Linked DNA regions of Lonchura striata. The protein of the gene in region 1 purifies or fractionates together with the protein of each later gene. This does not show direct contact. Links are inferred from orthologs where the notes say so. Each region holds a gene or a part of one and is shown in the gene's direction. Other genes may lie near its edges.

Region 1 (7,814 bases):
TCTTGCTTTCTTGCTACATTACAGAAACTGGGAAAGAATGTGATATAATACCAGCCAGCTCTCATTACTGCTGAAGGAATGTGCCATGATTAAACCTATATACAGAAAGAAATGGAATGTAATTCTTAAATGTTGATTTGCTTTGAACACATTCCACATGCCAAGGAATGAGTTTCCAGTATAGTCTTCCATTTCTAAAGATGGGGAGGACACCACCTCTACAAAATTAACTACAACCATCCTCTTCTGAAAATGACACTACTTAGTTAAAGATGTTTGTACACATTTCCTGGCATCCAAAACCACTAAATCCTTTGAGAACTACATGTGAAACAAAATTCTTCTCCTAAGAAGAATTTACCTCTTGGTAAATTCAAGAAATCAAAGCCCTTTTTTCTGTAGTCACGGAACAGAAGAAATTTTTGTATTTCTAAATATTTATTCAAAAGTGTCACTCATATAACACCAATACCACTGATAGGATATCATAATAATACCAACTATTACATTATTTTCTCCATGTGGATTCTTCACCCTGTTGGTGTCCTAAAGATACCTGACCTTGCCCCTTCTCTACACATTTCTTCCAATCCGTTAGAGGGTGGCTCAGCTGTGAAGCTCTGGCTGAAGAAGGCTGGATTGGATTCCCAAATCCAGCAGCAAGGCTGTCATCCAAAATGATCTGCAGGGTGATGTGGATCCCAGCGAGCTGTCTCATCTTGAAAGGATGTGTTGTTCAGTGATACCAGCCTGCACTGGAGCATGGGGCTCTTGTCAGCAGCGCTGATGATACTTGCTTGTCTCTCTCACAGGATCAGCCCTGCACAGAGTGAAACCTCTGAAATGGAACTGTATAAAGATACAATTTCCTGCAAAATCTTGGCTTCTGAAAGCGAAAGGAGGATCAGTGAGAGATCGGTTCTGTTAATCTGAGAATATTTTGAGAATTTGGGGGATGGTACTGGCTCAGGAACCTCTGGATCATAACATTCCAGTGGGATTTCTTGGTTGGGAAAGCAGCACTTTCTACCACCAGGGACTGCCAGCATCTTTGCTCCCCTACACCACCGCAGTTCCTGGTGCTCTGCCTGGCTTCCCTTCATCTGCCTGCAGATCTTGCACTGGTTCCTCTTGAACATACTCGGTTTAAATCCTTCCTGGCAGTTCTACACAGTGAAGGGAACAGCGAGTGAAAATCCTCATTTCCCAACAGAACTGGGAGATAGGACAGGACACAAACAGCTGTGGGACAGCCAAGGCACAGCCCTGAGAAAGGAGGGTGCAGCAGTTGGCATCTGGTGCCTCTGTGTGTCCGAGGGCAGCCTGGTCCAGGGTGTTCTCCCCACCTTAGGGACAAGACCCAACTGGGACCCAGCCCTGCCAGGCTGATGGGAGCTGGAGCCCTTCTTCTCCCCCTGCTGAATACACACCTACTATACAGGACTGTCCCATGTGATGCACTTGGCATGTATTTATAAAAGTGCTCAAGTCATGTTGGTTGTTTAAAAATTAAGTAAATAAAATCAAATATGGCACATATTAAAGAAAAGTGTACAGCAGTAGCAGCCATCCTGCAGACTGTACATTTTATATGCTGACCCAAATGCAGTGTCAGTTAATGCTCTAACACTTGCAATATATCACAATGCTTTCACTGAAAGGTGAGCAGTGTGTCCAAAAACCTTAGAAAAATTTATAGTTCAGCAAGTTCCTTTCTGAAAAGCAGTTTGAAACCAAGTATGCTTCATGACCTTTAAAAAACACTTTTAATGAAAGAATTTAAATGTTCATATAACTACTGAACAATGAAAGTATATTTAATCCCAAAGGGTTTTTTAAATATTGGCATTTCAATTAATGTCTGACATACTAGTTATCCATTAGAAAAAGATCATGTAGAAAGAATTCTGTATTTAATATAACATTAGGCACTTTTGTCAAATTATATCAGAATTATTGAATGTTAGGTCCAAAGTGCACTGCAAGACCCCAGAAATGAATAATCATCATGTTAGGAAAAATTTAGAAATATGTTAAGTATGTGAAAAGTAGTTTTGTTTTTTTTTTTTTTTTTTCCTGTTCAGTTTAGCAGTGGCCAGTTAATGTTGCAATATTTGCAAACCATCAATGATTCCTCATTACAAGCTCAACAAAAGAGGCAGTGTAGTTGTGATCCAAACAGCCAGTTGCATTATATACTTGGTTTGAGAAAAGAGTATGTGAATTTGTAACAGACTGAAAATTTAATAGTATGACCTTCAATTATAAATGTTTAATTTTCTTCCTCTTTTTTTTTTTTTTAATGCAAGAATCAGGACACCTGGAATGTCTTTGGGGTGTGCATGAATTTACATAACCATTACAAAATAACTTCTTAACTGTTTCAGTGCAATGTAAAGTCATAAAATCCATAGGTGTATTGTCCATGTTTTGTAGTAAATGCTGCTTAGACTTTAATTGTTTCAAATTCTCTTCTTTTTAACCAGTGGCAAAGCACTGGAAAGATGTTTTATGCTTTATCTTGTGCTCTGCCTGTGCTGTGAAAGAGGTTGGTGTCTAACATTTGCTAGTTTTGTGTTAAACAGCTGATGGCACAGGGGACAGGCACAGCCCTGGCCAAAGAAGGGACCCCAGGATTCCTCTGTTCCCTGCTGAAGTGACACTGGAACAGCAGTGCCACCACTGCAGGAAGCACTGGAAATCTCCACCTTGCACTTCAGACACTTTGGGAGGAATAGGAAGTCAATCCCCACGTACAGCATAGGAGAGGTCACTTTTTATGGATGGAAAGCTTTAAGAACCACATTGCACTTCAAGGCCTTCAGTGGAAAAAAAAAATCAGTCGCACACCCCAGGTTTGAATTAACGAGGCTCAGACTCTGAGCTCTGTCAGGATGGGACCATTCAAGACATGGTTACAGCTCAGCTCCAAGCGACTGCAGAGAAAACCTCCTGGGCTGTGTAGGAGCCACAGGATGAACTCAGTGAAGCACAGGTCATCTTCTCATCCAATGCTGGGGATCCATAGCTGGATCCTCACCTCTGACTACCCACATGATAATACTTCACAGGTTACCTCAGCAGGAAGAAGCCAGAGCAGTGACATGACCAAACGAGTAGAGTCTTAGTAAGGTTGTTAGTAAGAGTAGGTGTGTGATGTATTAGCTTAAACTTCTAAAGTAATCTAGACTGTGGTAACGTTCATAGCTTTCCTGGGAGCTTGTCTCACCCTTGAGGCCCCTCTGGCCCTGCAGAAAGCTGCCTATTACTCTGATGGAGGTCTCCTCATGGGAAGTGTGTTGCAGAGCTGGGAAAACTCTGGAAAGGGTCACCTTTCCCACAGGGTGGGAGTTAAATTAGGCAACACGGCATGGATGCAAGGCTTTAAAAAAAAAAAAATATTATTATTCTGCACATGGCAGTTCACAGAGCTCAACTGCTGATTTCTACACAGTGCAGATAAGAACCAAATTGGTCCAAAGTTTAACAGTTTCCAGGGCTGGTCTGTCACACCCTGTCCATGAGGAATATTGTCATGGATCGGCAGCACTCCTGCGTGGGACCACCCATTTCAGCCTGCCTCTGAATTCTCCTGCCATGTCTTTTCCCATTTGTACCCTCGGTTTTCCTGTCCCAACTCCCTACACAGCTTCTCTGCCACCCTCTCCTCCCCACCTTGGCTATTCACCCACATTCTTCCCGATCCCCAGCTCTCCCAGGCCATGGCCACTGTCCACATCCTTCCCAGTCCCCTACTTCCCCTCAGGCACAGCCATTCCCCACATCCTTCCCCATTTCCAGCCCTCCCAGGACACGGCCATCCCCCCATCCTTCCCGAGCCCCGCTCTCCCGGGACAGGTCCATCCCCCGCTCTCCCGGGACAGGTCCATCCCGCTCTCCCGGGACACGGCCATCCCGCTCTCCCGGGACAGGTCCATCCCGCTCTCCCGGGACAGGTCCATCCCCCGCTCTCCCGGGACAGGTCCATCCCCCGCTCTCCCGGGACAGGTCCATCCCGCTCTCCCGGGACAGGTCCATCCCCCGCTCTCCCGGGACAGGTCCATCCCCCGCTCTCCCGGGACAGGTCCATCCCCCGCTCTCCCGGGACAGGTCCATCCCCCGCTCTCCCGGGACAGGTCCATCCCGCTCTCCCGGGACAGGCCATCCCGCTCTCCCGGGACAGGTCCATCCCCCGCTCTCCCGGGACACGGCCATCCCGCTCTCCCAGGACAGGTCCATCCCGCTCTCCCGGGACAGGTCCATCCCCCGCTCTCCCGGGACAGGTCCATCCCCCGCTCTCCCGGGACACGGCCATCCCGCTCTCCCGGGACAGGTCCATCCCGCTCTCCCGGGACAGGTCCATCCCGCTCTCCCGGGACAGGTCCATCCCCCGCTCTCCCGGGACACGGCCATCCCGCTCTCCCGGGACAGGTCCATCCCGCTCTCCCGGGACACGGCCATTCCCCGCTCTCCCGGGACAGGTCCATCCCGCTCTCCCGGGACAGGTCCATCCCGCTCTCCCGGGACACGGCCATTCCCCCATCCTTGCCGAGCCCCGCTCTCCCGGGACAGGCCATCCCGCCGGCCTCCCGGCCAGCAGCGCCCGGCCGCCGCCGCCACCTGCCGCCGTTCCCCCGAGGCTGACCCGAGGCGGGGCGCGGGGGGCGGGCAGGGCCTCCCCGGGGCAGGAGGGAGGGACGGAGGGAGAGCAGAGGAGCCGAGCTCGCCGCCAGCCCGCCCGTCCGTGCGGCTCCGTCCCGGCTTTGTTGTGCTCGGGCCCGGGGGCGGGGAAGCGGAGGGAAGCGGAGGGAAGCGGGGAAGGCTCCGCTCCTCCTCCGCGGCCCCGGCCCCGCTCATGGCGACGCTGGGCACATCCGGGCCTCTCCTTCTCCTCCTCCTTCGGCGGCCGCCGCTGCCCTGAGCGCCCGGCCCGGCTCCATTCGCGCCTCCCCCGAGCCCTTGCGGAGCGGCGGCGGGGTGCCGCGGCCGGGGCCATGTCCAACCCGGGGGCCCGGCGGAACGGGCCCGTCAAGCTGCGGCTGACAGGTGAGGCTGGGCCGGGGCCGCGGGCCAGCCCGGGCGGGGGGCGGCAGCGGCTCCTCCGGGTGTCGTTGGGGCTGAGCCTGGGGCCGGAGCGGCCCCTCGGGCCTCGCAGGGAAGGGGAGGGCGAGGTTTCCCTGCCGTCCGTTCCCCTCGGCCCCGGGCTCGGCGTGTCCGGGCTCCGCCGCCCGCCCGGCCCGGGCCCCGCAGCCGCCTGGGGGAACTTCAGCCACCGCGCCCCAGCCTTGCAGTGTATTTTCCCTTCGTCTTCTCGGTGTAAACTCGAAAGAAACTGCCACGCTTTTTGTTTCGATCTCGTTGTTTGTTTATTGTTGTTGTTTTGTTGGGGTTTTTAAGCGATTTCCTCGGCTAAGGCTGTTGGGCACTGGAGAGGCTCCCAGGGCAGTGCTCAGAGCCCCAAGGCTGGCAGAGCTCAGGGAGCCTTTGGTCAACATTCTCAGGGACAGGGAGGGATTTTGGGGTGTCCTGTGCAGGGCCAGGAGCTGGGCTCGATCATCCTGGTGGGTCCCTTCCAACTCAGCATATTCTGTGATTGTTCACAGTTCTTGGGTGAACTGCCTTGTCCTGCCCTACTCCAGACCACTTGACCTCTGATATTTTAAAATACCATAAAAACGGTTCACCTGCATGCTGGGAAGGAAAAGAATCTGGTCTTAAATACTTAAAATTATGCCCTTTTCCATATAAAACCCCACGTAAACAGGTTTAGAGGAAAAAAAATACTGGAAATTCTGCTTGAGCTTTCTTTAAAAAAATTCAGGACACTTGAATCTAGCTCTTTTCTTCAAAGTATTGTTAAGTCCTCCAGCACATAAATGACACTGTGTGTCCTGAAGCATCAGTACACAAAGGTAAGCAATTAGAAGAGTATAGCTTTTCACTGTAAATATCCACCTTTATATAGTGTTTCTAAGCAGCTTGCAAAAGAAATATTTTTTTAAATATTAGAAGAGTTGTTATATTTACTTAAGGTGTGTGAGAAATATCTCCAGTTTAATACCTAATAAAGAGAGGTGTTTTCATACTGATCTTTCCAAGTATGTTATTTTCACAGAAAAAGTAAAATGTATCTGCTTCTGTTTTACTTTGGAATAACTTGGACTAGATTTGTTATCTAGTTTTCATGGAGATTCGTGAGTGTCTCTATATTACACTTGGAAATAAAACTCCTAAAATGAGCGTAGCTGGGACTGCTGCATGGAACAGTGCTGCCTTGTTTTTACTGAGTGTTTTGTAGCTTTCTCCTCAGGTTATTGCTGTATTGATGCAGTGCTTTAATACTTTCTTTCCCTGAGCAGTGAGTGCTCAGACTTGCTTATCTTTGAAACATAAAAAATGGTCTGTAACCTTATTTAAAATAATGGAAAATACTGTCTAGGGACTTGTCTTTCTCACCTCTGTGTTTTGTGTTCAAATTCATTTCATATTTTATTTTTATTGAGGAATAAGCATATAATGAAACTGTGCCTGTGACAATCTCAGTGTGGTGAGGGGAGTGTGATTGTGACCAGAAGCACGCTGTGGTTTTACGCACTGTGGTCAGCCCCCAAATGCAGCAGGTACAACCCTAAGGAATGTTTTTGTGTTTTTTGGGCATCTTGTATTTTGGGAAGGGAAAGTGCAGAGTATGGGATGAAGGCAAAAGTGTCTTTTTAGGACTGTTCCAGGGCTAGCAGCTCTGGCAGGCACTGAGTACCAGTTCCATTATTGGAAGCTTATAGGAAACATTGGCCTGTGTCTCCAGCTGAACAGCTTGAGGTATTTTCTGCTTTAGCTAATGGGGAGTTGTTTCACCTAAGGTCATTTGTTGTAAGGAAGCTTTACATGTTTAAGGAAAACAATGAATTTTATTAATTCAGCTGACATGTTGTCAGTTCTTGCCTAGGAATAGTTGTAAGTGTTCTGTGTGGTTTTGATTATTCTTTTTGATTGGAAAAGCAGTTTGGGGGCTCTTGAGTTCTAAAACTGTTTGGAATTAAAAGAATCTGTATATCCAGTGTTTCTAAAAGTTTATTCTCAAACTGACAAATGCTATTTAATCTTAATTTTCTTTGGCTCTATGAAACTAGCAGTCTTCTGTTTTGGCTTGAATGTTTATGGGATTAATTCTGCAATCATTGTTCAACGCTTATCTTTTCTGTTCAGTATCTCTAAATTAAATGGTATAGATTAAAAAATAGATTTCAAGAACTGGATTCAATTAGCAGTTTTTCAGGACATAAACATTAAAGGTTTAGATGGAAAACATTGTTTTGACTGACTGGATAAATGACAGGGTAATGTTTGATGTGAGTCCAAGAACTGATCTGGAGCTAGTGCCCAACTTCTCAGTCCATCTTGAGGAGCCAAATAAAATATTTAACCTAGGCCTCATTTTGCAAAAAAGGTTGACTCTTTGTTGAGACCTTAAGAAAGTTCTGAGAAATGTTTGGCATACCTTTACACTAAGTGTTTAACAGTTTATTTAGGTCTGGGTTCCACAACAGAGAAAAACCACAGCGGTGGCATACTTCTAGTAAGTTTTTATTTAGTTTACAGTGTATCTGTGTTATATATTTATTTAAAAAGTTTATTCTTTAGCAAAGGTTTGGCTGTTTGTTGCAAATAATTTTTAAAATCCAGGTGTCATGGCTTCTGATGATACTTCTAGCAGGAGGTGTAAATCCTTGTTTTTGATTAAAATATAGGCAGTATAATTTAAATTAGCTAAATTCCAGAATTGCACTAGTTTTCTGCGAAATTTATCTTAACAG
Region 2 (7,932 bases), on another chromosome or scaffold:
GGTTATTTACGCATTCACCATAAACACAGAGCAAGCCAATTCGAGGAAGCTTAGAAATGGTTGATTTGCATTATAGCTAAAAGTCAGAGATCGTGTGAACAGCAGTACCCTGAGAATCTAGTACTAATTTGAATAATATTTCAAAACCTTATTTTGATAAGCGTCATTCAGAAGATTTGTGCAGAAAGCTTTACTGAGATAAATGTCGAAGATAACATTATTATTCTTGTTGCCTCTGATGTACGCAGCAGTTGATAACAAGACGATTTCCTTTTTCTGACGGATGATTACACACAACAGATGTTTTAATTTGATTATATCTATGAGATAAGGATAAATGCTGTGTTAAGTCCAAACACATTTTATAAGTTTTTCAAAACATTTTACAATGAATGTAACCTTTTGTAAATGTCCTTGCTTGAGGCTGCATGTGTTCTCACAATGGTGCAAATTATCAATAACGAGTTGAAACCAGTGATTATATGAAAGAAGAAAACTACATTTAACAGTAGCTGTAATTCTGTGCTCTATGATAACCTAAATTAAGAGAGAAATATTATTCGAATGGTGATACAGGGCACAACCGTTTCAAACTGCTCCAAAGAGGACAATGTGTTCTTCAGCCAATGATACACAAGACATCCTTTTATCAAGGATTCTGAAAGGATAATGCTCCATGCCAAGCACCCTCATTTTGAAAATTAGCAGGCAAATGCCAGTTTTGTGAATGCAGCACTGCAGTGAACAGAGTTTTTATCATTTGAGTTTCAAATTATATAGGCTTACAAAATTTGACTTTGATTTGAACTGAAATGCCAAAATTTGTCTGGAAAATAAACTTTTTGCTTAAGTGCAGTGAAATCAAAGTGTCAGATGTTGTTCCATTGTTCTTTTTTTTATACATAACATGGTGAGAACAAAAAAAAAATTCAAACTAATAGTCTGTTTCAAAACAAAACACAATCTGTATCACAACAAAAACATCAAAATGGGGCATGTCAGTGGTTCAAGCAGATTTCCTATTTTTATTTTGAAAGTAGTTATGACACAACATGTCCAGAGTCATCAGTGTTTTTAGTTGGGTCAAGATACTTATTCCAGTTACTTCATTAATAGTTTCAGTAAGGCAATATCAGCATCCTATGTACCTGTTTGCCTTGTGTCATTCCAAAAAATCACAGGCATTAACTCCAATGGCTGCCAACAGGTAAAGCACCTTGTAGCTTACTTTATGTGATGTATACAATTCAAAGAGTATTTTCTTTAGGATTCATGTCATCTAACATCAGTTACCTAACAAATAGATGTCTGGGCTAATTACGCTCCCTCTCATCAGCTCATTAAAATATCTAGACTCCTTTCCCTCCTTGGATGACCAAGGGAATGTGGGTGACCTAATAGCCTGCTGCCACCATAATGGCAATTCTGTTAATCCAGCATTTGTCCTCCATCCTTTGGTTATTGAACCTGATCTGGGACTATCCCATCACAGTGAAACAAACAGGACTGCTCCATCAGATTGTGAGAAAGGCAATGGGTTTTCACAGCCATCTCCTGGAACTTCAGTCCAAGGCTAACTTTTAGGCAGCAAAGTAAGTTGAGATGTCTTTTCCCACACCATAAATATCAGCTCTACACAGACATGAATATTATGTCATGCTAGTGCAACTGTATAGGCCTTACTTAATTCTGCTTTCGGGAACTATCTTGTTCTTGGATTCTTACATAAAACAACACTGGAGTTAATAAACCAATCAAAATAATTGCTTTATTGTGGACATCAGCAGCTTGTGGCTGTGAGCAGAATGGTTTTGAATGGAGTGTATGTTAAGTACAGTGAAACAACAGCTTTTTAGTAACAATGCATCTTTTGTAGATGCTTGAAAGTGTTTTTCTGTGAGGATAATGCTGTAGTTCACATGGGATTTTGACAGAAATAAGATACCGAAAGCTAGAAAATACTTAGACTAACAAAGAGACATCATTTATACTTGGTAGTTTTGTGGACTGTTTTAAAAGCCATACTTAAGACGTGCAGCAAAGAGCAGTTAGCATGTTTTCACTAGGAGACCCTGAAGTACAAGAGGTTATAAATTGCTTGTGCTCTCAGTATATATTTGAAAGGCTCAGAAAGAAAACACAATATTCAGTGCTTTGATATTTTGCCTTTTTGAGTGAGGAACTGAAAGTAGCTGTCTTACCTTACCCAGTCAGGCTGGAGATTATTATTTACACCTTTAATCTCCCACTCCTTGAAGAGGACTCTTTCTCTACCTCAATCAGGCTGAGGTTAAATACTCACAGTTTCAATCAAAAAGAAACTGCTATCTGAAAACAGGGAACTGGGAGCTATGAACAAGGAAATGGAAAGAAATTACCATTACAATTGTTTCATATATTTTGGTTGTCCAGGGAGTCCTGATTAAACTGCATTTGGGTCCTAACAGGGAGGTTTGTAGTACTCAAAAAGGCAAAATATGAGTTTTCACTAATAAGCCTGTCTGGGATAAATCTGTGAAGCAAAGTTGGCTTTACTTCAACTTCCACACAGGCTACTAGTGGCAATGATACTACTCTTCCCCTGAGCATATCCAGGTAAAATTTCCTTCCACTTTCTAGTAACATCTCTCACTCTCATGGATTCTCTGAACATCCAAAGCGCAGCTGTAGCACAATCCTCACTGCACGGTGTATCTGTAAAAATAAATGTAGTACTTACATGGAAATAGCAAATTCCTGAAGTCCACTTGTACTAGACTCCTCACTTGCTGGGTAACAGGTGCCATATCACCTCATGTGAGAGAAGGGCCAGTGATGCCTGGCTGCACCCAAGGATTTGAGACTATTGGAAACCTAAGTGCAGCCCTTCCCAAAGCCTCCATCTACTGCAAGCCCCTCACCTACTGCCAGACCCTGGATGAGAGAGACTGGGCAGAATATGGCTATATTGGAGAAGAGCCATAGCACTTATGTGAGGGAGAGAGATGCAAGTGACACAGAGTCAGGCTTGCAAAGTCACACCTGATTTGTGACAGGTTTGAATAGTAATACTAAATCTGTACTTATTTGCTTTTAAACTTGTTTTTTATGTTGGAAGGTAGTCACCAAAAACTAACAGGAGAGTTCAGCACACAGAGCCAACTTTCTAAGCAAATAGCAGCTCTTTGGCACCTGCAACTTGACAGCTCTGAGGAGAGAGAAGTGTACAGCATGCAGTATATACTTGTGTGAGTTGAGAAATGCTTTTGTTTAAGTGGATACTGAAAACACAGTCACATTCTAGCACATAGCTGGTGGACAGGAACTGATAAGAACACTCCCGTCTGTGCTCAAAGGGGAGTCTGCAACTTTTCTTATCTCTGGAGGGTGGCGACCACCACCTGTTTGAGTGAATCTTGACTATATAAAAAGAGGATGAGGGAGAGGAAAATGCTCTTGGAGAGAGGTTTATGAGACTTTGTACCATAAACTGAGACTTCATGGTGAAAATATGTATTTAGGGATTGTTTAAAACTAAGTTTACATAAAAGCACAATGATTTTTTTAAAATGTCTGTTACAGGCCAATTAAATTCTTTACGCAAACATTTCCAAATTCAAGCATTTCCAAATTCAAACAGAGTAAAACAGAGATGATCTGGGACATCCAGAGCATAATTACATCTATTCCCCCTGAGGGCTTAGCCCTCTTTCTGAAATACCCAGATCTGTATCTCTAACTAGTGTTGTAACCAAGACAAAAGCGAATCACCAACGTTGGAACAATCGCCCTCAAATTATCCCCATGTGCATCAGTTTACCCTTCAATCAATGCCCAGCCATTTAACTCGGAGAGGAAGGAAGACTGTGAGCTGGAAATGGTTCTCAATACAACTGCTGGCTACGCAGTGGCTGGATTTATACTGGCAGGGAGCTCAAGCTTTATTCAGATTCAAAACTGAATGGTTCTTACAGTCTCTGACAGGGCCATGAAAAGCTGGAATCACTGGCGTGGTCCTACTTTCTGAATCATAGGTGCAATTCCCTCTTGCAGAAAAGGCAAAATATCTGGTAGAAGTTCCTTTGGAGAGGGATGGAGACGAACTTAATTTGTGTCACCTACACAGGATTGGAGATAAAGTAATGTACAACCAGCCTATTTGGAAGCAAAATAAGCAGCAGGTGACAAGTTGTTCCAGTCAGCTCCAACATCTGGAAGCTGAGTGCCCAGCTAGTCTATGTGAATATTTCCTGCTGTTACCCTGACTTCAACCTCCCCGGCTCCCTGTTTTAGTTCATCTGGGGGTTACGTCCTTCTTTCTGATACTGCTGCTGCAGCATCGTTAAGGTCAGGGATACGGATGCGAGGAGGAGCTCTGCAAAGTCCCCATGTCCTAGATGACACGTCTGGGTCCTTTTCAACTCGCAGGGAGCGAGTAGTACCCCTCCGAGCTGGTGGTTTCCTGTCGACCTTGAGCCTCCTCGCAAGCCACGGTGCAGCTCCGGGCGGGTGGCTGTGCCCGGTCCCCGCCTCGGAGGGAGGCAGGCGCAGGGATCCAGCTGCACGTCGGGGCTGGCCCCGACGCGCTTGTGGTGGGAGAGCCAGACCTGAGAGGGGCTGGCCTCTGGCAGATGATTGACACCAAGCTGGGTGAGGTTTCATGTTAAAAAGAAAAAAAAAAAAAAAAAAGAAAGAAAAAGGAAAGAAAAAAGGGCGAGAGCAGGGGAGGGGGTGACTGTGGGAAGGGGGAGAAGGAACTACTGTAAGAGTAAGAAAGTCCTGCCCAGCTGTTTGCGAAGTTTAAGATTTCCTGTTTCCCCTGCAGCGCCGAAGTGAAGTTTCAGTGAGTCACCCTCGGTCCCGAGCAGCGGAGCGGCGCGGCCCCGCTCCCCGCCAGCCCCGCCACCGCCGCCGCGGCCTCCCCGCCGCCCCCGCGCCCTGCCCGCGGCTCGCCGGCCGCGCCGATCCGGCTCCGCGATGACTCCCCGGCTGCCGAGCAGCCTGCGGCGGCTGCTGCTGCGCCTCTCCCTCTGGGCGCTGATGGGCAGCTCGGTCCCCGCTCTGCTCCGGGGTAAGTGCGCGCCGGCCCGCGCTGCCGCTTGACAGCTGCTGGGGCCGGGACAAGCGGCGAGGGACAGGCGGGAGGCGGGGGACACGGCTGCTGAGAAAGTTTTGAAGCTGGAAACATTTCGGGAGGGGGTGAGCGTGTTTGTGGATGGCCCTGCGGGAGAGTAAGCGGGGAAGAAAGGACTGGGAATCTCGGGGTTTCGCGGCCGAAGCTGAGATCCGTCCGTGGAGGGAACAGCGGGGAGAAAGGAGCGGATTTGGCAGGAAATCGGCGGGGTCTGCTCGGGCCGGAGGAGCCCGGAGAGGGCATCTGGAGCCTGCCTGCGGTGGCCGGGGAAGGGCTGCAGGCCCTGCCCGCAGCTGATGCGGCGGCTCCGCACCTGGTGGCGGCCCCGTGCGCGGGGACGGGCCGGGGGCGCGGGCCGGGAACCCGCGGCCCCTTCGCAGCGCTCCGGCCCCGGCGCCGCCGCTCCGCTGGGCACCGCTGTCCTGCACCGCCGCGGCCACGGCTGGAGGTGCCTCGGGGGGCTCTCAGAGCGTGGCCACAGAGCCCGCTGCCGTGGGTCTGCACTTGGTCACCAAAACCTGGGGTTCCTGAGTTCCTGAGAAGAGCGGAGTTTAGCCGTGCCTGTGAGCAGTTGGACTGAAAAGCACTCATTCCTCTAGCACCGACTGCGGATGTTGTTTGACTCACTTTAAAAGTGACACTTTGTAATCTTTACCCTGCTTCTAGCAAGACATCCTTAGATAGGTTTTTGGGGTCTGCGGCTTGCAGTATTCTTCCTATCATAATTTATAATATACTATGAGCTTAAAGTTCTGCTGGAAAAAACAAGATTCCTGCTCGGAGCAGCTTTCCGTCTCTGTTCTACTAGCAGTTACCCACATCTGTGAATTAACATCTGTAATATCAAGGTTAGGCCCTAAATCACGTTGCAGAACAAGTGGTGAACCTAAAAGGAGAACAGGAGATTGTAGCAAATGCATCTGAAACACTTGTGAAGAATTAAGTAGCTTTCTAAGATGTCTTGTAATGGCACATCTAGTTTTAGTCTTCAGGTAAGGTGTGCAGACACCTGGGCTTCTACAAACTTTTCCCTGGGCCCTCTGATTTTCCTGTCTGGTCCCTTCATGGTCAGTAGTTGATCCCAAATTTTGGCTGAAACATAATAACATGAAGCGGATGACTCTTCAACAGCTACTGCCTTTAGCTATGTGCAGTTCTTTGACTAACTTCATGCTTCATTAACAGCCCTGTCACAGTCAACAGGTTGTGCATACCTGCAAAGTTACTCATGAAAGCTTAGGGCAAAAGAAAAGAACAGGGTATGAATGACACTATGGTGTCCCACAGCTGTAAGTTATATTAAATTTGAGGTGTGTAGCTTCTTGTTAATTTTATATATATATATATTCTATAATTCTTCATTAACATAAACCATACGCAACTTGTGATGGCCTTTATTTTGACCACAGCCTCAAACTTTTGCAGATTCCCATCACAAAAAACTTTAATGGAGAAGCTCAGCTTTTGTTAATCTTGTGTTATTTATTATTATACTTTTTTATACTCAATCAGCTATAGACAGTCTCAAACTATGGGTAGATTTTTTAAAGTGGGCATGGCTCAAGAGTTTGCTCTTCTTTCTTGTCATAGGTTCAGTGAGGAAAAAGAACACAAACTGGTTACAGTTCCAGCATTTTTCATACTCATCTTCATCTACACCCTAAAATAAAAAAAACTGAGTAGACCTGTTTTCAGATAATCTATCCCACAGCTCCAAAAGCTGTTTTGATAAACACTGTAGGATTCGACTGTGCAATAGAATTCTATTATGACAGGAAGAGCTGATCAGAAAGCAACAGTTCTGTGGAGCAGAAAGTGTGAGGTTTGGATGTCGGTAGTTATTTGGCACCAGAATAAAAATTAGAGCTGCCAAATGCTTGGGGGAAAACAAAACAGGAAAAAAAATAGTTATTTATTTTGTAAGAATTCATCAGTGTAGTAAAGCTGGAAAAAAAAGGACATATATCAGTCTCGGAAGAGCTCAGTTCCCAGGTGTGCCTACTAACTAACCAGATGGCTGGATAAAAAAGCACTAGCTACAATTTCATTTTAACATTCTTCACAGCAAAATAGACAAGACACATTCCCATAAAGATTTTGGAGAAACCCACAAATTCATGAAGAGGTTCAATAGGAATTATGAAAAAGAAAACTGTCATGGTCTGTACTACACAGAAGTAATTGACTTTTTTGCATAGAGTAAAGGGGCAAGGTGTGATTTTTTTGGAATGATTTTGAATGATTTATTGATCATTTTATCCATTAATGTCAGTGTAGAACAGCAGTTGTCCGTGTAAGAATTTTGTGTTAGTGTGTTCAAGTGAATATGAATTTGTAGTTTGTCTTTGGGTTATTGTAACCAGAAATTTGTTCCTTGGAATCATCCATGCAATAACTGTTCGTCTCTGAACATCAGGAACTTAATTTCTCCATTCAGCCAAGCTCTATTTGCATTACTGCTATTTTTTTGAAAGCCATATCAGAGGTAGTTAATTTTATAGTATGAAAATCAAATTTAGAGCTTCAGATGTTTGCAAAAGGGAAGTAGGAGAGCAAACATCTTGTAACGGGATGGAACATGCTTGTAACAGGATTGAGTCTAAAATGCATTCCTACCCCCCAGTAAAACTGGCATTTTTCCAGGTATTTCAGGAGGGAAGTAGGGATATATTAGAGATGATATTGAAATTTCTTCTATTTATGGGGTATCCTTGAATTGTGAGACTTTTATACCTAAGACTTTGAAAAACACTTTTGTTTACTTGCTATTTTTAATATTTAATTGGCATTAACATGCTTCTTTAATACTCAGGTGGTGA
Region 3 (6,822 bases), on another chromosome or scaffold:
CTGGCGTGGTTTTGGTTCCAGAAATGTGCGTCCTGCCGAGCCGGCAGGGCTGGCCCAGCTCTCCCTGAAATCCGAGGATTGGCGCGGAGCCACGGGGACAGCTGAGCGCATTTTGTGTTATGAATGGCGAATTATTAATTTGTGTTCATAATTAAATTCATTATTGTTGTTATTAACAATAGGAACACGGCGATGGGCAGCTCGGGGCAGTGGCTTTGGAACAGAGGTGTTTATAAACACAGGGTGCTCCGGGGCACTGCCAGAGCCCAGCTCACCCCTCTGGCTGCCCTGGCTGTCCCCAGACCCTGGCACAAGACAAAAACACCCGTGGCTTTGATTTTAGCCCATGGAAAAAGCTGCCAACTCTGTGTGAGGAGTTACAAGCCACAAGGGTTTGAGTGGCGTGGTGGTTGAATTAACACAGGGTGAAAAAGTAGAATTTTGGGGGTTTTCCAGTGGGGTTCAAGGGGACAAGATGGAGGGATTTGAGCATGTCCTGGCCTTCTCCTTCTCCTCCTTCTCCTTCTCCTTCTCCTTCTTCTTCTCTTCTCCTTCTTCTCCTTCTCCTTTTCCTTCTCCTTCTCCTTCTTCTCCTTCTCCTTCTCTTCTTCTCCTTCTCCTTCTCCTTCTCCTTCTCCTTCTCCTTCTCCTTCTCCTTCTCCTTCTCCTTCTCCTTCTCCTTCTCCTTCTCCTCTTCTCCTCCTTCTCCTTCTCCTTCTCCTTCTCCTTCTCCTTCTCCTTCTCCTTCTCCTCTTCTCCTCCTTCTCCTTCTCCTTCTCCTTCTCCTTCTCCTTCTCCTTCTCCTTCTCCTTCTCCTTCTCCTTCTCCTTCTCCTTCTCCTTCTCCTTCTCCTTCTCCTTCTCCTTCTCCTTCTTCTTCTCTTCTCCTTCTTCTCCTTCTCCTTCTCCTTCTCCTTCTCCTTCTCTTCTCCTCCTTCTCCTTCTCCTTCCCTTCTCCTTCTCCTTCTCCTTCTCCTTCTCCTTCCCTTCTCCTTCTCCTTCTCCTTCTCCTTCTCCTTCTCCTTCTCCTTCCCTTCTCCTTCTCCTTCTCCTTCTCCTTCTCCTTCTCCTTCTCCTTCTCTTCTCCTTCTCCTTCTCTTCTCCTTCTCCTTCTCTTCTCCTTCTCCTTCTCCTTCTCCTTCTCCTTCTCCTTCTCCTTCTCCTTCTCCTTCTCCTTCTCCTTCTCCTTCTCCTTCTCCTTCTCCTTCCCTTCTCCTTCTCCTTCCCTTCTCCTTCTCCTTCTCCTTCTCCTTCTCCTTCTCCTTCTCCTTCTCCTTCTCCTTCTCCTTCTCCTTCTCCTTCTCCTTCTCCTTCTCCTTCTCTTCTCCTTCTCCTTCTCCTTGCCCTCCATGTCTTGCTGTGCTGGTGACACTTTTCTGTTGGTTTAAGGTACAGACAAACTGTCCAACATAAATCATAGGTACTACAAACTATGTTTACATTATTGTAAGAGGTAGTTTTTGGTGTAGAATGTAAACACCATCCCAAGGGCGGATTCTGTGCACAGTGACCTGCTGGACAGAGCGCAGCTCCTTGAGAAAGAACGCTGCAGATAATAGAGAATTAACAACCTCGAGAAACCAACCCTATGCATTCCCACTCCTGCTTCGGCTGGGTGGGCTGGAAGAAAGGAATTTTGGAATTCTCGGGGTCACCTCCGCTGCCAGAGCCCCGAGAGCTGGGATGCGATGCAACGCTTGTGCTGCAGGGGTGGTTCTGCACGGCACCCAGCCCCGATGCAGCGGCCCTGCAGCTCCTGCAATGAAAACCAGCCCCGACATTGTCCCCAAGCTCACAAGGCCTCTCCAAGAGCTGAGTTCAGGGTGGCACTGCCAGGTTCACCACACAAACCCCAGCACTTCCGCTGGGTGTGAGGAGATCTCCTTGGCTGAGGGTGCAGGTGGCTGCAGGCAGAAGGGGCTGTGCTCGTTATCTCTTTAATTAGTGCTAATTCAACCCGCCCCTGGCACGCGGGGTGCTGCTGTGGGGCTGGCCAAGGCGGCAGGGCCACGAGTGCCCGGTGTGGGACACCGCCTTGGGCTGGAGATCTCATCTCCCAGCCAGAATTCCTCCAGGAAAAGGTAATTTGTGCCTCACCCGGCGAATCCTGGTGCGGAGAGGCTGCAATTACACCTAGGGATGACAAATGCAGCAGTATTATATATTGCTTTTCAACCTAAGGCCTTCAGCGTGTGGAAGTGACTGTAAATGACTGAACAGCAAGAGCAGGAAAAGTTTTGACAGGGCAACACAACAATTTTTTAAAATTCCCATTATTCTTGGTTCTCATTAGGGCGGCTGTGACAGCGCGCCAGTGCCTTGCCAAAATCCTGTTGGACTCAGGAAAAGCACATCGCATTTTTCCGGGGGCACAGCACATCCTGCCCTGTGTCCAATGCCAGCTCCACACTGCGAGGGCAGGAATGTCCAAGGCTTCAGTTCTAAAACAGCTTTTCCTTTCCAGCCGAGCTGGCCTGGGGAGATGAGGAGAGGGGAGGCAGAGCTGCGGGCAGGGCTGCGAGTGCCAAATTCTGGGAGAGTTCCTGAGGAGCTGGGAAGGGGCTGGAGAGTTCCTGAGGAGCTGGGAAGGGAATGGAGAGTTCCTGAGGAGCTGGGAAGGGAATGGAGAGTTCCTGAGGAGCTGGGAAGGGAATGGAGAGTTCCTGAGGAGCTGGGAAGGGAATGGAGAGTTCCTGAGGAGCTGGGAAGGGGCTGGAGAGTTCCTGAGGAGCTGGGAAGGGGCTGGAGAGTTCCTGAGGGAGCTGGGAAGGGGCTGGAGAGTTCCTGAGGGAGCTGGGAAGGGGCTGAGCCTGGAGCAAAGGAGGCTCAGGGGGACCTTGTGGCTCTGCACAGCTCCTGACAGGAGGGGACAGCCGGGGGGGATTTGTGATCTGTTCCCAGGGAACAGGGACAGGAGGAGAGGGAACGGCCTCAGGCTGGGCCAGGGCAGCTCAGGGTGGAACCAGCAGGAATTTCCCCATGGAAGGGGGCTCAGGAACTGGAACTGCCCAGGGAGGGTTGGATCCCATCCCTGGAGTGCCCAGGGAGGGTCCGTGTCCCGCAGAGCTCGGGGGTGCTGCCAGGGTGGGGAAGGGATGCTGCCCGCACTCCTGGTTCCCTGGGGCTATCCCGCATCCTGCATCCCGTGGGATGCTGTGGGATCCAGTGGGATCCCGTGGGACACTCTGGGATCCCGTGGGATGCTGTGGGATCCAGCATAATGATGGGGGCTCCATTGGGATCCCGTGGGATTCCATGGGATCCATAGTGACGCTGTGTGATACAGTGGGATGCTGGGGGTTCCCGTGGGATGCTGTGGGATCCTGTGAGATCCCGTGGGATGCAGCGGGATCCAGTGGGACCCAGCTGGACCCTGTGGAATCCAGTGGGATGCTGTGGATTGCTGTGGGATGCTGTGGAATCCAGTGGGATGCAGTGGAATCCCTTGATATCCCGTGGGATGCAGTGGGATCCCGTGATATCCCGTGGGATGCAGTGGGATCCCGTGATATCCCGTGGGATGCAGCGAAATCCCGGTTCCCCGGAGCGCAGCCCGCCCGCTCCGCTCTCCCCGCGGCGCGCCGCCCGCCAACCACAAACACAACGCGCCCGCCCGCGCAGGCGCCGCGGGACCCGGATGTGGCGGATGCGCGGCGGGACCCGGATGTGGCGCATGCGCGGCGGGACCCGGATGTGGCGCATGCGCGGCGGGACCCGGATATGGCGGATGCGCCACGGGGCCCGGATGTGGCGCATGCGCGGCGGGACCCGGATGTGGCGCATGCGCGGCGGGACCCGGATGTGGCGCAGGCGCGGCGGGACCCGGATGTGGCGCATGCGCGGTGGCAGCGGCCCGGACGTGTCGGGACCAGCGGCGGCGGCGAAAGCGACCGGAGCGAGCGGGACACGGGCACGGGCACGGGCACAGCACCGGCACAGCACCGGCACCGCACCGGCACCGACACCTCGGCAGCGGCAGCGGCGCCGGGGCTGCCCCGAGCCGCCGCCGCCGCGCCCGGGCCGGAGGCCCCGGCCTGCCCGCGCCCCCTCGGCGGCCGCGCCCAGGTAAGGCCGGACCGGCCGGGCCCGCGCCCGGGACCCTTCCCCGAACCGCGGCACCGGCCCGGCTCCCCGCGGGACGGCCCCGGGGCCGGAGCCGGGACACCGCGCTGGGCCGGGGAAACACCGCCCGGCCCGGAACAAAGTTTGGGATGTGGGAAGGGAACGGGCGAGCAGACACAGCGAGCAGCGCAGAGTGGAGAGCGACCCAGGGATCCTGTGCCCAGAGTGACCCAGGGATCCTGTGCCCACACTGACCAGGGATCCTGTGCCCAGAGTGACCCAGGGATCCTGTGCCCAGAGTGACCCAGGGATCCTGTGCCCAGAGTGACCAGGGATCCTGTGCCCAGAGTGACCCAGGGATCCTGTGCCCACACTGACCAGGGATCCTGTGCCCAGAGTGACCCAGGGATCCTGTGCCCACACTGACCAGGGATCCTGTGCCCACACTGACCAGGGATCCTGTGCCCACACTGACCAGGGATCCTGTGCCCACACTGACCAGGGATCCTGTGCCCAGAGTGACCCAGGGATCCTGTGCCCAGAGTGACCAGGGATCCTGTGCCCAGAGTGACCAGGGATCCTGTGCCCAGAGTGACCCAGGGATCCTGTGCCCAGAGTGACCAGGGATCCTGTGCCCACACTGACCAGGGATCCTGTGCCCAGAGTGACCCAGGGATCCTGTGCCCAGAGTGACCCAGGGATCCTGTGCCCACACTGACCAGGGATCCTGTGCCCACACTGACCAGGGATCCTGTGCCCAGAGTGACCCAGGGATCCTGTGCCCAGAGTGACCAGGGATCCTGTGCCCACACTGACCAGGGATCCTGTGCCCAGAGTGACCCAGGGATCCTGTGCCCAGAGTGACCCAGGGATCCTGTGCCCACACTGACCAGGGATCCTGTGCCCAGAGTGACCCAGGGATCCTGTGCCCAGAGTGACCAGGGATCCTGTGCCCACACTGACCAGGGATCCTGTGCCCAGAGTGACCAGGGATCCTGTGCCCAGAGTGACCAGGGATCCTGTGCCCAGAGTGACCCAGGGATCCTGTGCCCACACTGACCAGGGATCCTGTGCCCAGAGTGACCCAGGGATCCTGTGCCCACACTGACCAGGGATCCTGTGCCCACACTGACCAGGGATCCTGTGCCCAGAGTGACCCAGGGATCCTGTGCCCAGAGTGACCAGGGATCCTGTGCCCAGAGTGACCCAGGGATCCTGTGCCCAGAGTGACCCAGGGATCCTGTGCCCACACTGACCAGGGATCCTGTGCCCACACTGACCAGGGATCCTGTGCCCAGAGTGACCCAGGGATCCTGTGCCCAGAGTGACCAGGGATCCTGTGCCCACACTGACCAGGGATCCTGTGCCCAGAGTGACCCAGGGATCCTGTGCCCAGAGTGACCCAGGGATCCTGTGCCCACACTGACCAGGGATCCTGTGCCCAGAGTGACCCAGGGATCCTGTGCCCAGAGTGACCAGGGATCCTGTGCCCACACTGACCAGGGATCCTGTGCCCAGAGTGACCAGGGATCCTGTGCCCAGAGTGACCAGGGATCCTGTGCCCAGAGTGACCCAGGGATCCTGTGCCCACACTGACCAGGGATCCTGTGCCCAGAGTGACCCAGGGATCCTGTGCCCACACTGACCAGGGATCCTGTGCCCACACTGACCAGGGATCCTGTGCCCAGAGTGACCCAGGGATCCTGTGCCCAGAGTGACCAGGGATCCTGTGCCCAGAGTGACCAGGGATCCTGTGCCCAGAGTGACCCAGGGATCCTGTGCCCAGAGTGACCAGGGATCCTGTGCCCACACTGACCAGGGATCCTGTGCCCACACTGACCAGGGATCCTGTGCCCAGAGTGACCAGGGATCCTGTGCCCAGAGTGACCCAGGGATCCTGTGCCCACACTGACCAGGGATCCTGTGCCCAGAGTGACCCAGGGATCCTGTGCCCAGAGTGACCAGGGATCCTGTGCCCACACTGACCAGGGATCCTGTGCCCACACTGACCCAGGGATCCTGTGCCCACACTGACCAGGGATCCTGTGCCCAGAGTGACCCAGGGATCCTGTGCCCAGAGTGACCAGGGATCCTGTGCCCAGAGTGACCCAGGGATCCTGTGCCCACACTGACCAGGGATCCTGTGCCCAGAGTGACCAGGGATCCTGTGCCCACACTGACCCAGGGATCCTGTGCCCACACTGACCAGGGATCCTGTGCCCAGAGTGACCAGGGATCCTGTGCCCACACTGACCAGGGATCCTGTGCCCACACTGACCCAGGGATCCTGTGCCCACACTGACCAGGGATCCTGTGCCCACACTGACCAGGGATCCTGTGCCCACACTGACCAGGGATCCTGTGCCCACACTGACCAGGGATCCTGTGCCCACACTGACCAGGGATCCTGTGCCCACACTGACCAGGGATCCTGTGCCCACACTGACCAGGGATCCTGTGCCCAGAGTGACCCAGGGATCCTGTGCCCAGAGTGACCAGGGATCCTGTGCCCACACTGACCAGGGATCCTGTGCCCACACTGACCAGGGATCCTGTGCCCACACTGACCAGGGATCCTGTGCCCACACTGACCAGGGATCCTGTGCCCAGAGTGACCAGGGATCCTGTGCCCACACTGACCAGGGATCCTGTGCCCAGAGTGACCAGGGATCCTGTGCCCAGAGTGACCCAGGGATCCTGTGCCCACACTGACCAGGGATCCTGTGCCCAGAGTGACCCAGGGATCCTGTGCCCAGAGTGA
Region 4 (7,084 bases), on another chromosome or scaffold:
TAGGACTAATTGTGCATACACTGTTTGTGAGAGAAAGATTATTTATTAGCCTGATACAGTACCTTCTAAACCAAAAGACAAATAAAACTTTTAGTCATCACCATTAATATTATTTCCTATCACAATTCCATATATTTTTACTTTAAGACCTAAGGGAAAAAATATTTATTGGTTCCCATTTTTGGAACTAAATCATTATATTCATATTATAAATCTTTCTCAAAGACTAACCTATAGAACAAATTGGTTTGTATAATTGTCTCTCTATCCACTTGCTCCTTTCCAAAATGTCTTTTATTTCAATGCCCTACATAGTTTTTTTCTTTGTGGAGTACAGAGTTCCAGTAGTACAGAGTTCCATTTGAAACATTCATGCAGTTGCAATTATTTTGTTTTCCATCTTCCAGAAGAGAAAATAAAACCATAAGAAGTGTTCGTACACTGACAATAATTCTTGCAGAAAATAAAAGCAGCCCTAGGTAAAGATTAATTATTTCATTCTCTCTCCCTGTGGGTGCTGCGCATGTGTATGACTGTCACATTCTAGTACAGAAGAAAGAAATTAATCAGTGTTTAAATTGCAGATATTCGCTGTGTAATAACCTGATTTACTCAGTCTAAAAACCAATCTGATGATTTAAACAAATCTCATAAATCCAGATAGTTTGGTTTTTCTGTGTCACCTTGCTTTGTGTTCTACCTTGCATTAAAAAAAATTATTATTATTGCTGCATATTTCTATAATTGGAATATAATTATGTTATGAAATCATTCATTTATTAGAAAAATGAGGCTAGGAAAAATGGGGGGGTTGCCTGTTCTTTTAAATTTATGTCCACTGATGACATTATTTCCATCCTCAGTAAGCACTGAGGATTGCAGTTCGTAAGAAGTTCTTTTAAGCGTTCCTTTACAGGAAATACTGAAAAATTATATTTAATTCATCCAGTTAAAATGTCGTAACCATACAATGGTCATGCATTGTTTTCTATTGAACTTGGCAGATTTGTACTGTGAAATAGTTTTTTCATGCTTTGGCAGGAAAAGGCCAAGCAATTATTGCAATTTTGAAGAATCTGTGATCATAGAACAGTTATTTTCTTCTTAAACAAAATGTCACTTTATAGGAAAGCATATATTGAAACTGTTTCACTGATTGTGTCATTTTCTGACTTAGCCCCACTTGACTAACTAGCATGTTTAGAGGATGAAAATCGTAAGATGCAAGCATCAAGATGTCCTCACTACCTTTGGACTGGCATTCAATTTGTTTGCAGACATAGGGAGGAACCAATGAATTAAATATTTTCAGGTCATCATTTTTATATTGTCGTTTTTATTTAATTGCTCTATTTTTATAGCAAAAACAAAGGTAATTTTGTTGTTACCAAACAGGGCATGTGACATGAATTACTTTGCATCTCAACCAGTGAATCCAAGTACCTCTCCTATAGCCCCCCCTAAAGAAGCCAGGTACTGCCCAGATGAGCAAAGCTCCTGCTGCACCAAAAGCAGTTATGAAGCTCATAAGAAGGAAGGGGAAGACCTAAATATTGGAAAAGGGGAACTTACAGCAGGAGTAACAGCAGAAGAAAGATGATGGAAAAACACCAGGATGAATCTTACAGTGATAAGGGGGAGCTAACAGGGGAAGGTACCAACAAGAACAAGACCCAAATGTCTACCAGAGCCCATTGAATATCAAGAGTCTGTATCATAATCAGAAGTTCTTGGACCCCGCCTTAATCAAGACCAGAAGAGGCAGTCCTAAGAACCTGGATATGTGGAAAAATAGCGAGAAACGGGGAGATTCTGGACATGCAGAACCCATTTTGGTAGCTATGCTTCTGTCCACATTTACTTTGGCTTTTACATCTAGCATACATAAGATCAGAGAGAGGTACCCAGGCTTCAGGACAGGGGATGACATAATTTTAGGTATTTCTTCTGTAGTGGTCTTTACCTCATGAGTGATATGGAAGAAGAGTGAAGCCTGGCAAAAAAAAACTCCTTTGTAGTTGGCACTATTGGACCTGAATCCATCTTAGCTGGTGAGTTGATACCAGCAAGTTATTGATTTATTTTAATTTTTCTGTGTCTGTCAGCCAAATGTCACTCAGGATGTTAATTCAAAATGTTCCACATAGAACTGAACTTGGAGCCCTGAAAAGAAATCCTTCAGCATGCTCTGCTTACTGGTCTCTGCCTTCCTTCAGAGATATAGTCTGTGACCCATCCCTAAACCCAGGAGATCTGCAATGGGGAAATGAATAGTAGATTTTTTTCCCCTGAGCATAATTTTCTTAATTTATAGTTTCAATGCTCAATATGAATTTAAAAGATGTCTCAGGATTTGAGAAATTTAACTGAGTGCTTCAGTGTTTCTTTCTGACGCTAATACATTTAGTTGAGGATCAGCCCTCTACATATTTCTATGTATGGATAACTAAGAACATGTTTGCCTGGTGTTGTCAGCTTCAGTAGTTCATTACAGCATGAATCTATATGAAATCCAGACATTTGGTTCAACATCTGACATTAAGTGCATGTCATTAAAATGTTATTTTGTGAGAGAAAATATAACTAGGATATGTTTATGCATGACACTGATCATTGTTCAAAGAGAAACAGAAAGAGAATTAATTAATAAATATTTACCTCACTTTGAACTATGACATCAAAATTCTTACCCAGGTGAAGTGTACTGTAGGAGAAACAAGACTTTTTTATAAAAGCAGTATTGGCTGAACAACTGCTAGTAAAATGGAGGCAGCAGATCAGTGTGCCGTGACAGTGAATGTGGTCCTGGAGAGTGGGAAGGGTGCTGTCCTGAGCACTGCAAGCTGGGAAGGCACCATTTGGCAAAGACAGGGCACGGGGCTTGCAAGAGCAACTGCAAGTAATGTGGAAGAACACCTGTGATCTTTGTGACTTTGCCTATGACGGGAGGGTCACACTCCATGCAAAATAAGCAACAAAAGGAGTATAAAGGCATATGCTGAGAGATTCTGAACTGATTCAGGGTCTGGACACAACAGTCAGATATTTGAGCGGGGGGGGCGAGGGGGGGGGGAGGGGGCGGATTCCCAGAGCAATCAGGTAACTGCTGGGAGAATCGTTACCTGATCCCAAGAGGGAAGAAGAGAGCCTCTCCTCCTACTCTGCCACCCATGCAAAGCTAATAAAGTGGTGGATAGAAGTAACAACCTCAGTCACGGTCATTTTCCTCACGAGGTACATCCTAGTTGCCCCAGGATTTAAGATTCAAGGTGTACCTCCGACGGGTATTCGGACTGCACGAGTCTGCGATTCCCAGTTAACTCCTGAAGTTAAGCGCAGGCTGTGCAATAAGCTGGCAGCTACACCTGTCGCCTGGCACCGCTCTTCCCTCGCACGGGGACAAAGCCTGTGAGCTGAGCGCTGAGACTGCCGCTGAGGCGAGGGAAAACCCTCCGCTGCGGGACGGCGGAGCGGCCGCGGGGCTGCCGCGGGAGCGCCGGGCGGTCCCGTGCCGCGGGCAAGGAGCGGGAGCTGCCCCTGCGCTGCGGCCCCGCCGCGACCGCCCGGGGCTCCGCACGCTCCGCCTGCCCACTCGCAGCGCCTCCCAGGAGGAGCAATTCCTCCGCTCCCGCTGCTTTCCTCCTCTCCGGAGGCAACTCGAGGGCTGCCCACAGGCCCCCGCACCTGCCTTCCATCGGAGCCGATGCTCCCGGGACTCCGCGCAGTGCAGCGCTGCCAGCGCTCCCTCCTCGCTGCTGGCAGCGCCTCAGCCGCTAACCCGAGCGCTCTCGCAGCACCCGGACGCAGGGAAACTCCAAGCCCGCTCGAGCCCCTTCGGGAGCGGCATCGAGGGGACAGAGCGGCCGCTCTGCCGTTCTCACCCGCCGGGAGGGGGTGCCACCGCCCCGCCCCGCGCCGCCGCCGCGCAGGTCGCGCCCCGCTCCCGCCGCCTGTTGTTGTCGGGGCTGCCCGCGGCCGCCGCGGGGCGGGGCCGGGGCGCAGCGACCAATCAGGCGGCGCCGCCGCCGCCGCGTCGGCGGCATTCGCGGCCGGAGCGGGCCGGGAGGGCGCACGCAGCGCGGGCGCCGCGCCGGTCCCTGGGCGGGCGGAGCGGGCGCGCGTCGCGAGGCGGATCCCGGCTCCGGGGAGTCGCGGCCAGGACATGGCAGCGGCTACTCGGCGGCGTCCCTGGGCCCTGCTGTGCCTGGCTGCGGCCTCGCTGCTCTGCCCCGCGGTGGGCGGTGAGTGCGCAGGGGGGCGCGGGAGCGGAGAGAGGCGGCGGGCGCGGCGGTGGTGTCCGGAGCGGCGTGTGGGGGTGCGTGGGGAGATCGGCGGGGGGCGGCGGATCCCCGCCGGTTCCTTTCAACAACATGGCGGAGGGGCCGGCTGGGGCGGAGTCACCTTCCCCCCACCCCCGGTGTCCGAGCCCGGCGGGGACCGCTCGGCCCTTTGTTGGCCGAGAGCGGCGGCGGCTCCGCGGGAGGGGCGGCGGGAAGGGTCCCCTCGGGCCCCGCCGCTACTTCCTCGGCCCGGCTGAGCAGCGCTTCGGGCGATGTCTGCCCGCGTTAACTTTCTATCCTGATGTCCGCCCGGGGGGGTGCGTGTGGCCTTGGCCCGCGAAGGCAGCTGAGGCTCCTGGAGCTGCCGGAGCTCCCCTGTCTATCTGTCCGCCAGCTCCTGGGAGCTCCCGGGCGGGGTGCCCGGCAGCGGCGGGAGCGGCAGCCCCCGGGCCGCCGCAGGGCGCTCGTAGTGGTGCCCGGGAGGAGCGGCGGGGCAGAGACGTGTTGAATGTCCCACGTCGCGGAGGTGACAGGGGGCTGCCCCCGCTGTGCTGCGCGCTGCAGCACCGTGTGCTGCTGTCACGGTGCTGGGGGGACAGGCGAACTTTTGGTCCAGCACGCCCTCGCCTGTGTGCTCGGTGCGGGTCGAGCCGTGTGGAAATGAAATCTTCGGGTGAATGTTGTACAGCGAAACGGTTGTGTTCTCCAGTCTCCTGTACCTGTGCTTTTTTGCGAGAGATTTGATATCAGACTATGCTGTTGCAGAGCTAGTGCAAGAAACATTGGGAGTGCTTGACAGCATTCATAAATGGAAGATTTGGGTGGTTTTCTTTTTTCGTTTTGTTTTTTTTTTTTTTTTTTTGAATGTGCAGGTTGTTCTGCGGTTAGCAGTTTGGGACATATGGCCTAATGGATTGTATATTGCTTTGGATTTTAAAAAGGAAGTGGAGAAGCACCACAACTTTTTCGGTTACAGCTTTAAGAAATCCCTCAGTCTGGATCTATACCATGCTGTATATAATTCAATCTAAAATGGTAGTCATGGTGAAAAAAAAGCTACTTAAAGCATCACTTGCTGTATTAACATGTAGTGTTAATCACACATATTCTTACTGAAGGCGATGCAAGATCTCTGATGTGGAAACACTGAAATAAGCTTAAGTTACCCATGGGTTGTTCTTATGTTCTTGAAAAGGTGCGGCAGGCTTTAATAATTTAAAGCTTTCTTATGTAACACATTCAATTTAGTAGTTGAAGGAAATTTTAGTTCAATTTGAGCTTTGAACTTTTTCCCTTTTAATGCCTCCCATCAATCCAACAGTTTTCCCTTAATCTGAAGCATGAAATTAAGGTCTAAAAGCTTTGTGTGAAAACAAGGCAACAGACTTCCATACAAAACCTTATGGGTGGAAGTGATGGTGTGCTACCTTTTGTTTAATAAAAGATAAATCCTCTCTGTTCAATGGAATTGGAAGAAATCCAGGATTCATGATCCATAGCTCATCCAGAGGCCCTGGTATGGGTGAGGCAGGTAATTTGCCTGAACATTATGGTCTAAGTTGATAGAGTAGTTCAAGGTATGATTTGGGTACTGGTACTTCTTACTGTGAGTTGACAGAAGTTGGGCAATTTCTGGTTGCCTCTGCTGGGGCTGTTCTGCAATGTGCTGGTGTTACTGTGTGGATGAGTCATCTTGTGATACGGTTTATATGGAGGTCAGGTATGTAATGAATCCCAGCAGCTAGCTGAACAGTTGAACAGCCTTAATTTTTAAGACAGAGTCTGAAAATAGGCTTTCTGGTTTTCACTGTGTACGCCATAGTCTTTAGTCTTCTGAAGTTCTGGGGAGTCACCACTTGAAAATTCTTGAATTCAGACAATTGCTTCTAACTGCAAATAAAGATAACAATCTGATTAATATGGTGGAATAAATTTAAAAGTACAAATAAAGATCCTTCTGTTGTCATAATGCTTGTAAAATTATGATCTGGGCTTTTAAATTTAGCTTTCTTCTGTTAGTTTGGGTTTTTTTAAAGCTTATTCTTCTACCAGAGAAGAAACAAATTGTTACTGTATTATGCTCTAAGAGGCATGAACATATATCTCTGGGTAGTGTTTTTGATAGATGTCAAGAAAACTAAAAGTGCCATTTGGCTCCTACATTGCACAGAATATAATATCACTTTTGTGAAGTTGGGATTTTACACAAGATTTTATCGCTATTTACAAGTTGTGGGTACTTAATAGTAATTTATCTGTTTTCTTGAGTGCATCACTTTGTTTGACAAGACCTGCTGTTTGCAAGAAGGAAGATGGATGAAATCTATGTGAAAGTTTTCCTGAAAACTTGATACCCGGTGCTGTTACAACAGTGAAACTTTTAATTATTGCCTTTGTGAGAAGAATGTGTTAGTGGAGGCCATAAAGTATTGTGATTTTAAAAACTGTACCTATGTCCCAGATATTTTAAGATTGAAACCTTTTTGTATCTTGAGCTAAAAGAGTTCAGAGATGAGTCAGGTGTATTGTTTGAGGCGATTGTCTGAATTAGACTCAGAAGCTGACATTTGCACTGTTATGTATTATTCTTTTTTTCCTTTGGCAAGTGTTATTGGACAGGGAAAGAGCTACCAGTGAGCATGAAACCCTTTTGCTCATATCCCTAAAAATGTGGTTTTGTCTCTTGCACATAATAGCCTTGCTCCTTTATTCCCTCGAAACTCTGCATCTTATGGAACCAAGAATTGTGATTGCTCTTCTGATGAAGTTCTGCTTTCTGGTGACGTTTTGGCTTCAAAATTTGT

What was found.
Region 2: the proteins of SMURF2 (region 1) and TGFBR2 purify together in Homo sapiens (affinity purification with western blotting; 3 studies listed by BioGRID). This does not show direct contact. The link is inferred for Lonchura striata from reciprocal best matches to the Homo sapiens genes SMURF2 and TGFBR2.
Region 3: the proteins of SMURF2 (region 1) and SMAD4 purify together in Homo sapiens (affinity purification with western blotting; 3 studies listed by BioGRID). This does not show direct contact. The link is inferred for Lonchura striata from reciprocal best matches to the Homo sapiens genes SMURF2 and SMAD4.
Region 4: the proteins of SMURF2 (region 1) and TGFBR1 purify together in Homo sapiens (affinity purification with western blotting; 8 studies listed by BioGRID). This does not show direct contact. The link is inferred for Lonchura striata from reciprocal best matches to the Homo sapiens genes SMURF2 and TGFBR1.

What each region holds. Positions count from the first base shown.
Region 1 is NC_134621.1:8,494,040-8,501,853, reverse strand, and holds the start of SMURF2 (E3 ubiquitin-protein ligase SMURF2), read left to right. Parts: upstream 1-4,804; 5' UTR 4,805-4,994; coding exon 4,995-5,046; intron 5,047-7,814. UniProt on the Homo sapiens protein: E3 ubiquitin-protein ligase which accepts ubiquitin from an E2 ubiquitin-conjugating enzyme in the form of a thioester and then directly transfers the ubiquitin to targeted substrates.
Region 2 is NC_134603.1:116,137,438-116,145,369, reverse strand, and holds the start of TGFBR2 (TGF-beta receptor type-2), read left to right. Parts: upstream 1-4,912; 5' UTR 4,913-4,956; coding exon 4,957-5,050; intron 5,051-7,932. UniProt on the Homo sapiens protein: Transmembrane serine/threonine kinase forming with the TGF-beta type I serine/threonine kinase receptor, TGFBR1, the non-promiscuous receptor for the TGF-beta cytokines TGFB1, TGFB2 and TGFB3.
Region 3 is NC_134642.1:1,015,983-1,022,804, reverse strand, and holds the start of SMAD4 (mothers against decapentaplegic homolog 4), read left to right. Parts: upstream 1-3,810; 5' UTR 3,811-4,064; intron 4,065-6,822. UniProt on the Homo sapiens protein: In muscle physiology, plays a central role in the balance between atrophy and hypertrophy. When recruited by MSTN, promotes atrophy response via phosphorylated SMAD2/4.
Region 4 is NC_134603.1:84,465,623-84,472,706, forward strand, and holds the start of TGFBR1 (TGF-beta receptor type-1), read left to right. Parts: upstream 1-4,076; 5' UTR 4,077-4,162; coding exon 4,163-4,241; intron 4,242-7,084. UniProt on the Homo sapiens protein: Transmembrane serine/threonine kinase forming with the TGF-beta type II serine/threonine kinase receptor, TGFBR2, the non-promiscuous receptor for the TGF-beta cytokines TGFB1, TGFB2 and TGFB3.